2 linked regions of the Macaca mulatta genome follow. The protein of the gene in region 2 interacts with the protein of the main gene of each other region in a pairwise test. Links are inferred from orthologs where the notes say so. Each region holds a gene or a part of one and is shown on either strand. Other genes may lie near its edges.

The links. The genes of interacting proteins can lie anywhere in the genome.
Region 1: the proteins of DACH1 (region 2) and FGF12 interact in binary tests that used the Homo sapiens proteins (3 or more experiments, as listed by UniProt). The two-hybrid records come from large-scale screens. The link is inferred for Macaca mulatta from reciprocal best matches to the Homo sapiens genes DACH1 and FGF12.

The regions. Positions count from the first base shown.
Region 1 is NC_133407.1:6,577,341-6,581,939, reverse strand, and holds part of FGF12 (fibroblast growth factor 12), read right to left. Parts: intron 877-4,599; coding exon 678-876; intron 1-677. UniProt on the Homo sapiens protein: Involved in nervous system development and function. Involved in the positive regulation of voltage-gated sodium channel activity. Promotes neuronal excitability by elevating the voltage dependence of neuronal sodium channel SCN8A fast inactivation.
Region 2 is NC_133422.1:66,617,800-66,622,932, reverse strand, and holds the start of DACH1 (dachshund homolog 1), read left to right. Parts: upstream 1-1,686; 5' UTR 1,687-2,119; coding exon 2,120-2,967; intron 2,968-5,133. UniProt on the Homo sapiens protein: Transcription factor that is involved in regulation of organogenesis. Seems to be a regulator of SIX1, SIX6 and probably SIX5.

The sequences.
Region 1 (4,599 bases), on a different chromosome or scaffold from region 2:
TAAAATGAGGATAAAAATTGGTTTCCTCAGGGGAAAGAAAAAAAAGGTTTATTCTAATGGTCAGTTTGAAATAAATGAACAGAGTAAGAGTATTAAATGATTATGAGCGGAAAGGTGATAAGCTCACCTGGGAAGGATGCAATGTAATACCGTAAATATAAAACTATCATTTGTTTTTCAAGGGTGGATCTTGAGAAATTAAATTATTAGGTTTAGAAAAGGAGGAAATTACATACTAGATAGTAACTACCACTCCTTTTCTACTTTCAAAATGTTTCCAGCTTCTATACTCAGGCATTTTTTCAAGTGCCAAGTCTTTGTAACAGAATTTTCCTTTTTTTTTTTTTTTAATAGGAAGAAATTCCCAGTTACTACGGAGGCTGAGGCAGGAGAATTGCTTGAATCCCGGTGGAGGTTGCAGTGAGCCGAGATTGCACCATTGCATTACAGCCTGGGTGACAGAGCAAGACTCCGTCTCAATAAATAAATAAATAAATAAATAAATAAATAAATAAATAAATAAATAAGATACTATTGTGTTTTCTGAATATTTGTTTTGAATCCTTCTTCTGATCTGTTACATTCCAGGCACACTCTCTGGAGCACAAGGGCAAGGAGCAGAATTGATGTCAACACACAAATAACGGTCCAACAAAGACAGTCAGTTGGTTTCATACCTTCAATAGGTTTCGGTACAAAATGTGATGAGGGCTTGGTTTTCTTCACTCTGTTCCCCTTCATAATTTGACCTTCTTTATTGAGTCCCAGAAACCAAGCTCGGCCTGATTCTTGCTGGCGGTACAGTGTGGAAGAATAGATCACATAGTAGTTTTCAAACACAGATTCCTTAAATTTGCATTCTGGAGTGAAAACATCCTGTAGGAAAAAAAAAAAAGACACAAAAAAGAGGAATGATTTAAAGGTGAATCAGCAAACGCTGAAATCCAATAAGCTTGAAATCCATGTCCTCTGTTAAGAACAAATGAAAGGCAATGACACATAGTTTCTATTATCCTTTGGTTATAAAGATTCATCATACAAAATAAAAAAACATGATTTCCTTTCTAGCCAACCTTTACCCCAGTGATAACAATTTGCTCAGGCTTGAAGCTAGGTGAAAATCATTCAGGACTGTGGCCAAGTCTGCGCTCTGATCCTAGCAATATGTTTTGTAAACTAAAGTCATTGGCCATTCCTCATTTACTCGCCCTTAACATGTAAATAAGGAACTAAAATTTATCCTGGAAATCAAAATCAAATATAACCACAGCAAACACAGGCACACAAGGTGCTTTTGAAGAGACTATTCTGTATATACAAAAACATATTACATAGCCACAGCTTGGTCAGTAAAATCACCACTTTTCCTAATGTCAGTAACTTCCTCTTTAATTTCCTTAAAACATTTTTTTCCTTAGTAATCAAAATCTCAGATAAAAAGCCCAGGAATAAGTAATAGAAAAAAATTACTATTATATTGAAGAAAATTACTAACAGTAATTCCTATTACTATTGATCTCAGTGAAACACAGAATGAGAGTTTTAGTCTCAGAAGAAACCGTAAGATCCTGTACTTCAACTCCAACATTTGGTAAGTGAGAAAACCAAAAGGTTATATGATTAATTCAAATATACATTTACAAAACTACTGAGTCAATGCCAGAGCTCACATTTATTGCTTCATAATCACCGCCTCTCAGGCTCACCTTTTCTGCCTGAGTCTTGTTTAGTGACTTATGATGAGATTTAAAAATCAATACAATAAAATCATATCCTAACATGTCACATGAACAAAATCTATTTTGTGGAAGGAAGAAATTTCTCCCCTTCTGAGATAAGCAGAAGAAACACAAATGCTATTGCATCTTCTTCAGCTGAATTAAACAAGAGTCCTACATGTCAGACATATTCACCATAGTCATCATCTTCCTCTCCATGTACTGGAAGAATTTCAATGTGAGACCCCCATGATTTAATGCAAGCAAATGTGAAATTAAGTTATTAATGAATAGAGGAATAGGGTTGGTTGAAACCATGTCCTTATAGGTGATACTCCCATGCTAATCTCTTTATTTGTAGAGAGTGCTCTCTCTCTTCTTTTTTTTTTCTTTTTCTTTTTGTAAGAGATGGGGTCTTGCTATGTTGCCTAGGCTGGCCTCAAACTCCTGGGCCCAGAAGATCCTCCCACATCAGCCTCCCAAGTAGCAGGAACTACAGGTGTGTACACTGCACCCAGCTTATTTTTGAATAGTTCTAACATTACAGATTAAGAAAAATGAGACTAAGAAAACTGGAGTAGGCTGGGGTGCAGTAGCTTACCTCTGTAATGCCAGCACTTTGGGAGGCTGAGGTAGGCAGATCATTTGAGGTCAGGAGTTCGAGACTAGCCTGGCCAACATGGTGAAACCCCATCTCTACTAAAAATGCAAAAATTAGCCGGGTGTGATGGCGGATGCCTATATTTCCAGCTACTCAGGATGCTGAGGTGGGAGGATGACTTGAACAGGGGAGGTGGATGTTGCAGTGAACAGAGATTACACTCCACACTCCAGCTTGGGTGACAGAACGAAATTTATCCAATCCCCACTCCCCCCAAAAAAAGTCCAAGAAAACACTCCCCAGAGAAAATTGGAGTAGAAAGGTGATTGTAGATACTAAAATAATAAGAGTAGCAATAAATTAATACTATGTTTATATTAATACTGAAATGTGATTTCTTAGAGTACTTTCAGTTTTAAGTAAGTGAACTACCAGCTTAAGAATCAAAGAAACAAATGACCATGAGATACTACTTCACATCCACTGTAATGGCTATAATTTAAAAATGGACATTGTAAAGTGTTTGTGAGGATGTGGAAAAGCTGCAGCTCACATACATTGCTGGTGGAAATGTAAAATGACGCAGAAGCTGTGGAGAATAGGTTGGCAGTGCCTCAAAAGGTGAAACACACAGTTGCCACACAATCCAACAATTCTACTTGTAGGTCTAGTTCTAAGAGTAATGAAAACATGTCTGCACAAAAACTTGTGCACAAATGTTCATAGTAACATTATTCATAATGTGGAAACAACCCAAACATCTATCAAGTGATGAACGCATAAATATAGTGTGATAGTTCTGCAGAATGCAATTGTAATATCATTCAATTATAGAGGAGAATGAAATGCTGATTTATGTGGCAACAAGGATGAACCTCATACACATTATGTTAAGGGCCAGGAGCCAGACACAAAAGGCCACATGTTGTATGATTCCATTTATATGAAATGTCCAGAATAAGCAAATCCAGAGATAGTGAGTAGAGTAGTGAGTATCAATGGTTGGGGAAGGAGGTGAGATGGATATACGGGTGGAGTGACTGTTTGTTGGAGGGATGAAATGTTCTGGAATTAGATACTGGTGATGTTTGCAAAACTTTTTGAATGTACCAAAAACCACTAAAGCATGCATAAACTTTAAAAATGTAAATTACATGGCATTCAACTGATATCTCAAATAAAAGAAAATCAGATAAACAAGGTGACTAAAGAAAGTGAGGGAAGGAACGAAACTATTGCACATTCCTTGCCTGGCAGCACAGGGCTACATGATAACCCATGGGAAGGAAAACCAGCTCTTTTAAGGCCTTGGCTCAATATTGCCAGGATAGAGTTTAATCACTGCCAAGTAAAATGGATAAAACTAATTCAGATTCAATTTAGGTGATAATATTAAGTTCTGGTTTTCTTCTAGGACTAATAAAGTATTATTAAAATGCTTAAATTTAGGTACAGATTTAGGTTCATTTTCTTTTAAAAACAAACTAAAGTAATCCCAAAGCTTTTTTTTTTTTTCCTAGATCTAGTCCAATACTAACAAACATAGTATTAACCCTAGATGCTATGCTAAGGAACTCTGGAAAGTTCAAGAAATACATTCTATGTGTGAGATTTCAGACTTTATAAAGAAGTTAGGGAATAAATAATTCCTGTTTCGTGTAAGTACATATCGTCATATATGTAGATAGTGATAAAACCTTCTTATGAACGTACATCACAGAAACATGTACATTTGAAGATAGATACAAAGCTGCTTAGTGCTGCTTAGTGACAGTACAATTTGGCGCCTTTATTTAACAAGGTAATGAAAGTTCATGATAGTGAAATATTTGTCCCCAGTGTCACAGGAAGTTAGAGGCAGATCCAGACCCTGTGTTGAACAGCGGGCTCCTCGCTGCTGGTTCAGTACTTCTTCCAGTGCCACACATTGCTTTCCTACTGCATAGGCAGTCCTGCTTTCGACTCCAAGCTTGATTTGAGCAAGCCTTAGTCATTATTATAGAAACCATATCAGTGATGTATAATTACTACATTGTCATTTATACATGAGAAAAACAACACTCTCATTTAATAAATAATGACTCTTAGGTTTGTTTCATACTCGTTTAAAAGTCCCTCCCGGAACAGTAAAAGTCAGAGATACTGCGCAGGAGCTGGAGTCCTAGGGTCCTGAACCAGGAACAGCATTAGGTAGGAACTGGGCTTTGGACTACTACATTGACAAACGGGGGATTTCTTACACAGCATCCAGGTCCTAATCAGCAATGAAAAGCCAAGTGG
Region 2 (5,133 bases):
GTCCTTGCGGCAGTTCATGGACTTTTCTGCAACAATCGATTTTCTGAATTCTCATCTCCCAGGAAAGCCTCCTGATTTAACTGCTATGTCCCAAAAAGTTTAGTAAAATCATACACTAATTAGTCCATAGTGTCATATTTCTATTTCTCGGTAGACAGTTCTTGCACTTTTTGACATTACGATTCACAGAGTTCAAAGGCTTAAAATGATAAAGAGAAATGAGATCATTTCAACACCAGAATGGTGAAAATTGTATTATAAAATTTCCCAACACTGTGAACCTCTACTAATAGTTTATTTTAAAATCTGCCAAATACTAAAGCATTGCTTCATATCTTATAAACTTAATGAACATGTGTAGACCGGTTCAAAGGCTAACTAATTGAAGATACTTGGAGATATGAGTAGCAAATAGATTTGACCCATTTTCAAATCATATGTTAGTCAAAAATCCTTGAATAAATATCTCAATGCAACAAGTTAGAAAAAAGAAGAAAAGGAAAGAGGAAGGAAAGGAGAAGAGAGTCCAGTCTAAACTCAGCCTCATGTTGTTTTAAGCACAGCTACTCGTCTTTACAAGTCAACTAGTGAGATTTGTTTTTGTTCTTCTCATTATTTACAAAACATATATTTACTGACAAATTGAAAAGGACTTTCCAAAACTACAGCAGCACTTTTCAAACATGAAAAAAAAAAATAACTATTGTGTTGTCCAAAAAACACATTAGCAGCTGGCCTTGGGTCTTAAAGGACATGAGGATAGTTGGTTACTATGTAAGACAGGTGATTTAATTACAGAGTTTTGGGTAAGAAAAGCCTTTTTCCACTTTCTAAATCTTCAAGGATGCCTTATCTCCTTGGTATCTCTAGGTTTAACAGGTATTTCTGACTGGCTTTTGGGGCGACAGTGAAGTTATTCTAAATCATCCACATCAAGTCAAGCATTTCTTTCCACAACCTATTAGGAAATATGGAATTGAATACCGAGCTTTCCATTATTCTTAAGCGATTTCGGACTGACTTTCTTCTCACCACTTGAAAACTGTCCTGGAATTTTTCACTATCTTTATATAAATAATTTAGTAGAGAAATAAAACAATCATATGCAAAAGAACGTTACGCTTTGCTTACATGTGAATTTTCCTCAAAATAATTTCTGAACAATTATGAAGTGGGGGCTGTGTTTTCATTTCTAGCTCATTGCCAAAACGCGTGGAGATGGATCCTAAATCCTTGAAGGAGAGCTCGGAGCGCTCTGGCTCCTGTTTAAGTTGGCGGGCGATTGTTAAGAAGCTTTGGAAAAAATTACCAGTCGCCGCGAACGAAATGGAATGTGAGACATGCAATCTAACGGTAGTAGTAGAAGAGAAGTAGATGATCTCCCTCTTCTTTTCCGATCGCCACTTCTGTGTCCCTGGCTTTTCCTCTCCGTCCCTCCCACAGTTTCTTTCCGTATCCTCCCCCTCCCCTCCTCCCTTCCTCGCACGCTCCCTTTCCAGTGTCTCGCGCTCTCGGAGTCTCTGCTCCGAGTTCCTGGTTGGATAATTTGGGTTAATACTAGTGAGTGAGGTTTTTGCGGCTTCAAAGGGTATTTCAAGTTTCCGGAGCTCCTCCCCTCTGCACCGTGTGACAACAACAACTCGTCCAGCCGGCAGCCTGCACTTTTCAGCTCATTTTCTCTCTGTCATTCCCCTCTCAATCTTTGATCAATGTACTTGCCAGGGAGAGCCCAAGTCCTTCAAACCTCCTCCTTTTCACCTTCATCCTTAACTTTGTGCTAGACCGGGACCCACACAACAACAGCCGACCCTCCCCCCTTCCCCCCCCAAACCAGCCCTCGATCCCAGCCCCCGGAGAGGACTCGCATTTCGACTTGCGGGACACTTTTGTGCGTTTCTCTCCAGAGCGCCTCTCGTGCTCGCCCCTCCTGCGCTCTCTCTTTATTACCTTCACCTCCTTTTCTCCCCCTTCTCTCCCTTTCTCCTTCTCGTTCTCTCCTGGAGTTGTTGTTGTTGCCCCCCTCGCTCCTTCTCCCCCCTTTTTTCCCCTTCCCCTCCCGGGGGTGTGTGGCAACTTTTCCCCTCGCTTCTCCTCCGTCTGTTTCCCCTTATATGTGACCATGGCAGTGCCGGCGGCTTTGATCCCTCCGACCCAGCTGGTCCCCCCTCAACCCCCAATCTCCACGTCTGCTTCCTCCTCTGGCACCACCACCTCCACCTCCTCGGCGACTTCGTCTCCGGCTCCTTCCATCGGACCCCCGGCGTCCTCTGGGCCAACTCTGTTCCGCCCGGAGCCCATTGCTTCGGCGGCGGCGGCGGCCACAGTCACCTCCACCGGCGGCGGCGGCGGCGGCGGCGGCAGCGGAGGCGGCGGCGGCAGCGGTGGCAACGGAGGCGGCGGTGGCGGCGGCGGCGGTGGCAGCAACTGCAACCCCAGCCTGGCGGCCGCGAGCAACGGCAGCGGCGGCGGCGGCGGCGGCGGCATCAGCGCTGGCGGCGGCGTCGCCTCCAGCACCCCCATCAACGCGAACACCGGCAGCAGCAGCAGCAGCAGTAGCAGCAGCAGCAGCAGCAGCAGTAGTAGCAGCAGCAGCAGTAGCAGCAGCAGCTGCGGCCCCCTCCCCGGGAAACCCGTGTACTCAACCCCGTCCCCAGTGGAAAACACCCCCCAGAATAATGAGTGCAAAATGGTGGATCTGAGGGGGGCCAAAGTGGCTTCCTTCACGGTGGAGGGCTGCGAGCTGATCTGCCTGCCCCAGGCTTTCGACCTGTTCCTGAAGCACTTGGTGGGGGGCTTGCACACGGTCTACACCAAGCTGAAGCGGCTGGAGATCACGCCGGTGGTGTGCAATGTGGAACAGGTTCGCATCCTGAGGGGACTGGGCGCCATCCAGCCAGGAGTGAACCGCTGCAAACTCATCTCCAGGAAGGACTTCGAGACCCTCTATAATGACTGCACCAACGCAAGGTGAGTCGCGGGGGATAGCCCCCGCCACCCGCGCCCCTTCCCACCCGCCTGCTCGCCCTGCCCTCGCTCCCTTCCCGGCGCCGCTCGCTCTGCGCGCCCGCGAGCCGCGCGCCCCGGCGAGCGCGGCCCTCTCCTCTCCTGCTCGGGGTTCGCCAGCCGCGCCCGACCCCTGAGAAGCTGGCACCTCACCCTGCCCAGACCTCGCTCTTCGGCCCGGTCCGCCCCTTGCCCAGTGGGTCCTGGGGATGGGCTGCTGTGGGACGCGGGAAAAGCCGAGCCTCGGGGCGGAGGGGACGAGCCGGAGGAGGAAGGCGTCTTTCCTGGAGCCATAGCCCCCTGCCCCGGGCGCGCGGGCGCCTGGAGACCCCTCTCAGCGCTGCCGTCCGCGTTCGTGCGCTCCCTAGGACCTGGGTTCCACCGCCCGCTTCCCAGCACCGACAGGGCTGATCTGTGGCGCCGAGCGCCGTCCCAGGGGCGGGGAGAGGTCGTGACCTGCTCCGCAGGGCTCGGGGAGCGGGGAGACGCGCTCCGGGTGAGGGGCCCGCTGGGAAAGGCGAGGGAGCGGGCCAGCACCCAAGGAGGGCACTTTGAGGTCGGGAGGGAAATGACCCGCGAGGCTGAGAGACCGGGGCCATCCCGGGGGATGAGCTCCGGGGAGCTGAGCTCCGAAGCCCGGAGGGGAAGCCCGTCGAGGGGAGGGGTCTGTGTGTTCGCGCATGTGTGCGTGTGTCCGCGTGTGAGTGAGTGCGTGTGCAAAGGAAATAAAGGGGTGCGGTGGCCCCGGGGCAGATGCGAGGGCAACCAGCAGGTTTTCTTCGGTAGGGGGAGGTGACCGAGTGCCCGAGACTCAATGGAAGCTGAACTGGAGAGATTAGGAAGGAAAGCCACGAAGCGCGCTCTCTCTCGATCTCTCTCTCTGTCTCTTTCTCTCCAAAGTGTGTTTTCTTTCTTTCTTTCTCTTTTCTTAAAGGTTAGTAGCTTAAGCAGCGAGCAGGTGCACACTTTGCACTGGAATGCTGAGCGGGCCTGATACTCTGTTCCTTGGCTTCCCCAGCCCAGCAGAGCGCGCGCACCGAGGAGGCGGCGGGACCGGTCCCCAGCCAGACCAGTTTTATGCTAATGAACGCTCAGTGGGGGAGGATCTACCGAGAGGGGGCGGGAGTGGGGCAACTTGTCAGTTTCGGGTTAGAGATGATCATTCCACCCCCTTTCACAGCTCCGCTTTGTCCCCACGGTTCGCTGCAAGGAAGTGCAGAGGCAAAAGTTCAGAGTGGGATTCCGGGAGAAAGAGAATAGGGAAAGTTGAAGACCTGAAGCGGGCACGTGGGAACTGCGCGCAAAATTTGCGCGGAAACTTCGGTGCCCTCCAAATAAGTTTGAAGATTGAGAGAAGGAGCGGAGTTGGTGTGTGCCCCCGCAGAGACAGGGAAACTTAGGTGGAAGGGAAGTGTAATAAGGAGACCAGAAGGAAATTGTGTTGAAAAAGCGCTAGCTCTTTTTCCATGGAGAAAGACTTCTCGCCTTGTGCCCGAGAAGGCTGAGAAAAGAAAAAGATTCGAATTCCAGTCCAGCAAATGTCCTATCCTGACCTAGCCAGAAATTCTTTTCCGTGTTTAGGTACCCTTCGTTCCATGGGACATGGGTGTGTTTGGGCTTTGAACCTTCGACTATTTGGGGGTAAATGCTCTGTGTGTGTGTGTGTGTGTGTGTGTGTGTGTGTATGCGCGCGCGCCCAAATGTATGGACAGGTGGCAGTAAAGATGGGGGGTAGTGGGGGTTGCGGAAGCAAGATCACTAAATGTCATTTACTCAGATAATTGGAGCTCTTGGTCGTGCAGAATATAAAATATTTGCCCCAAATCTATTTGAATCAGGTCAGAAAAATTGTTCTGGAGTTGCGAAGAAAGCTAGGTGAAATTTGAAGCTAGTTCAGATATGATAGTTATAAAATTGTCTGCCTATCCAGTAAATTGGTGAATCGCTACTGTTTTTTTTTTCTCCTTAGTAATCAAACATCTACTCTCCTCAGAATCCTCTTTATGTGTTTCTTACAACACACTAGATACTAGATAATTAAAGTCCATTTCACATACACATACGTAAACACACAAAATTGCTGGAGAAAACTTCCTTCAGTGACTGCATTATAATAAGTGTTATAATCAG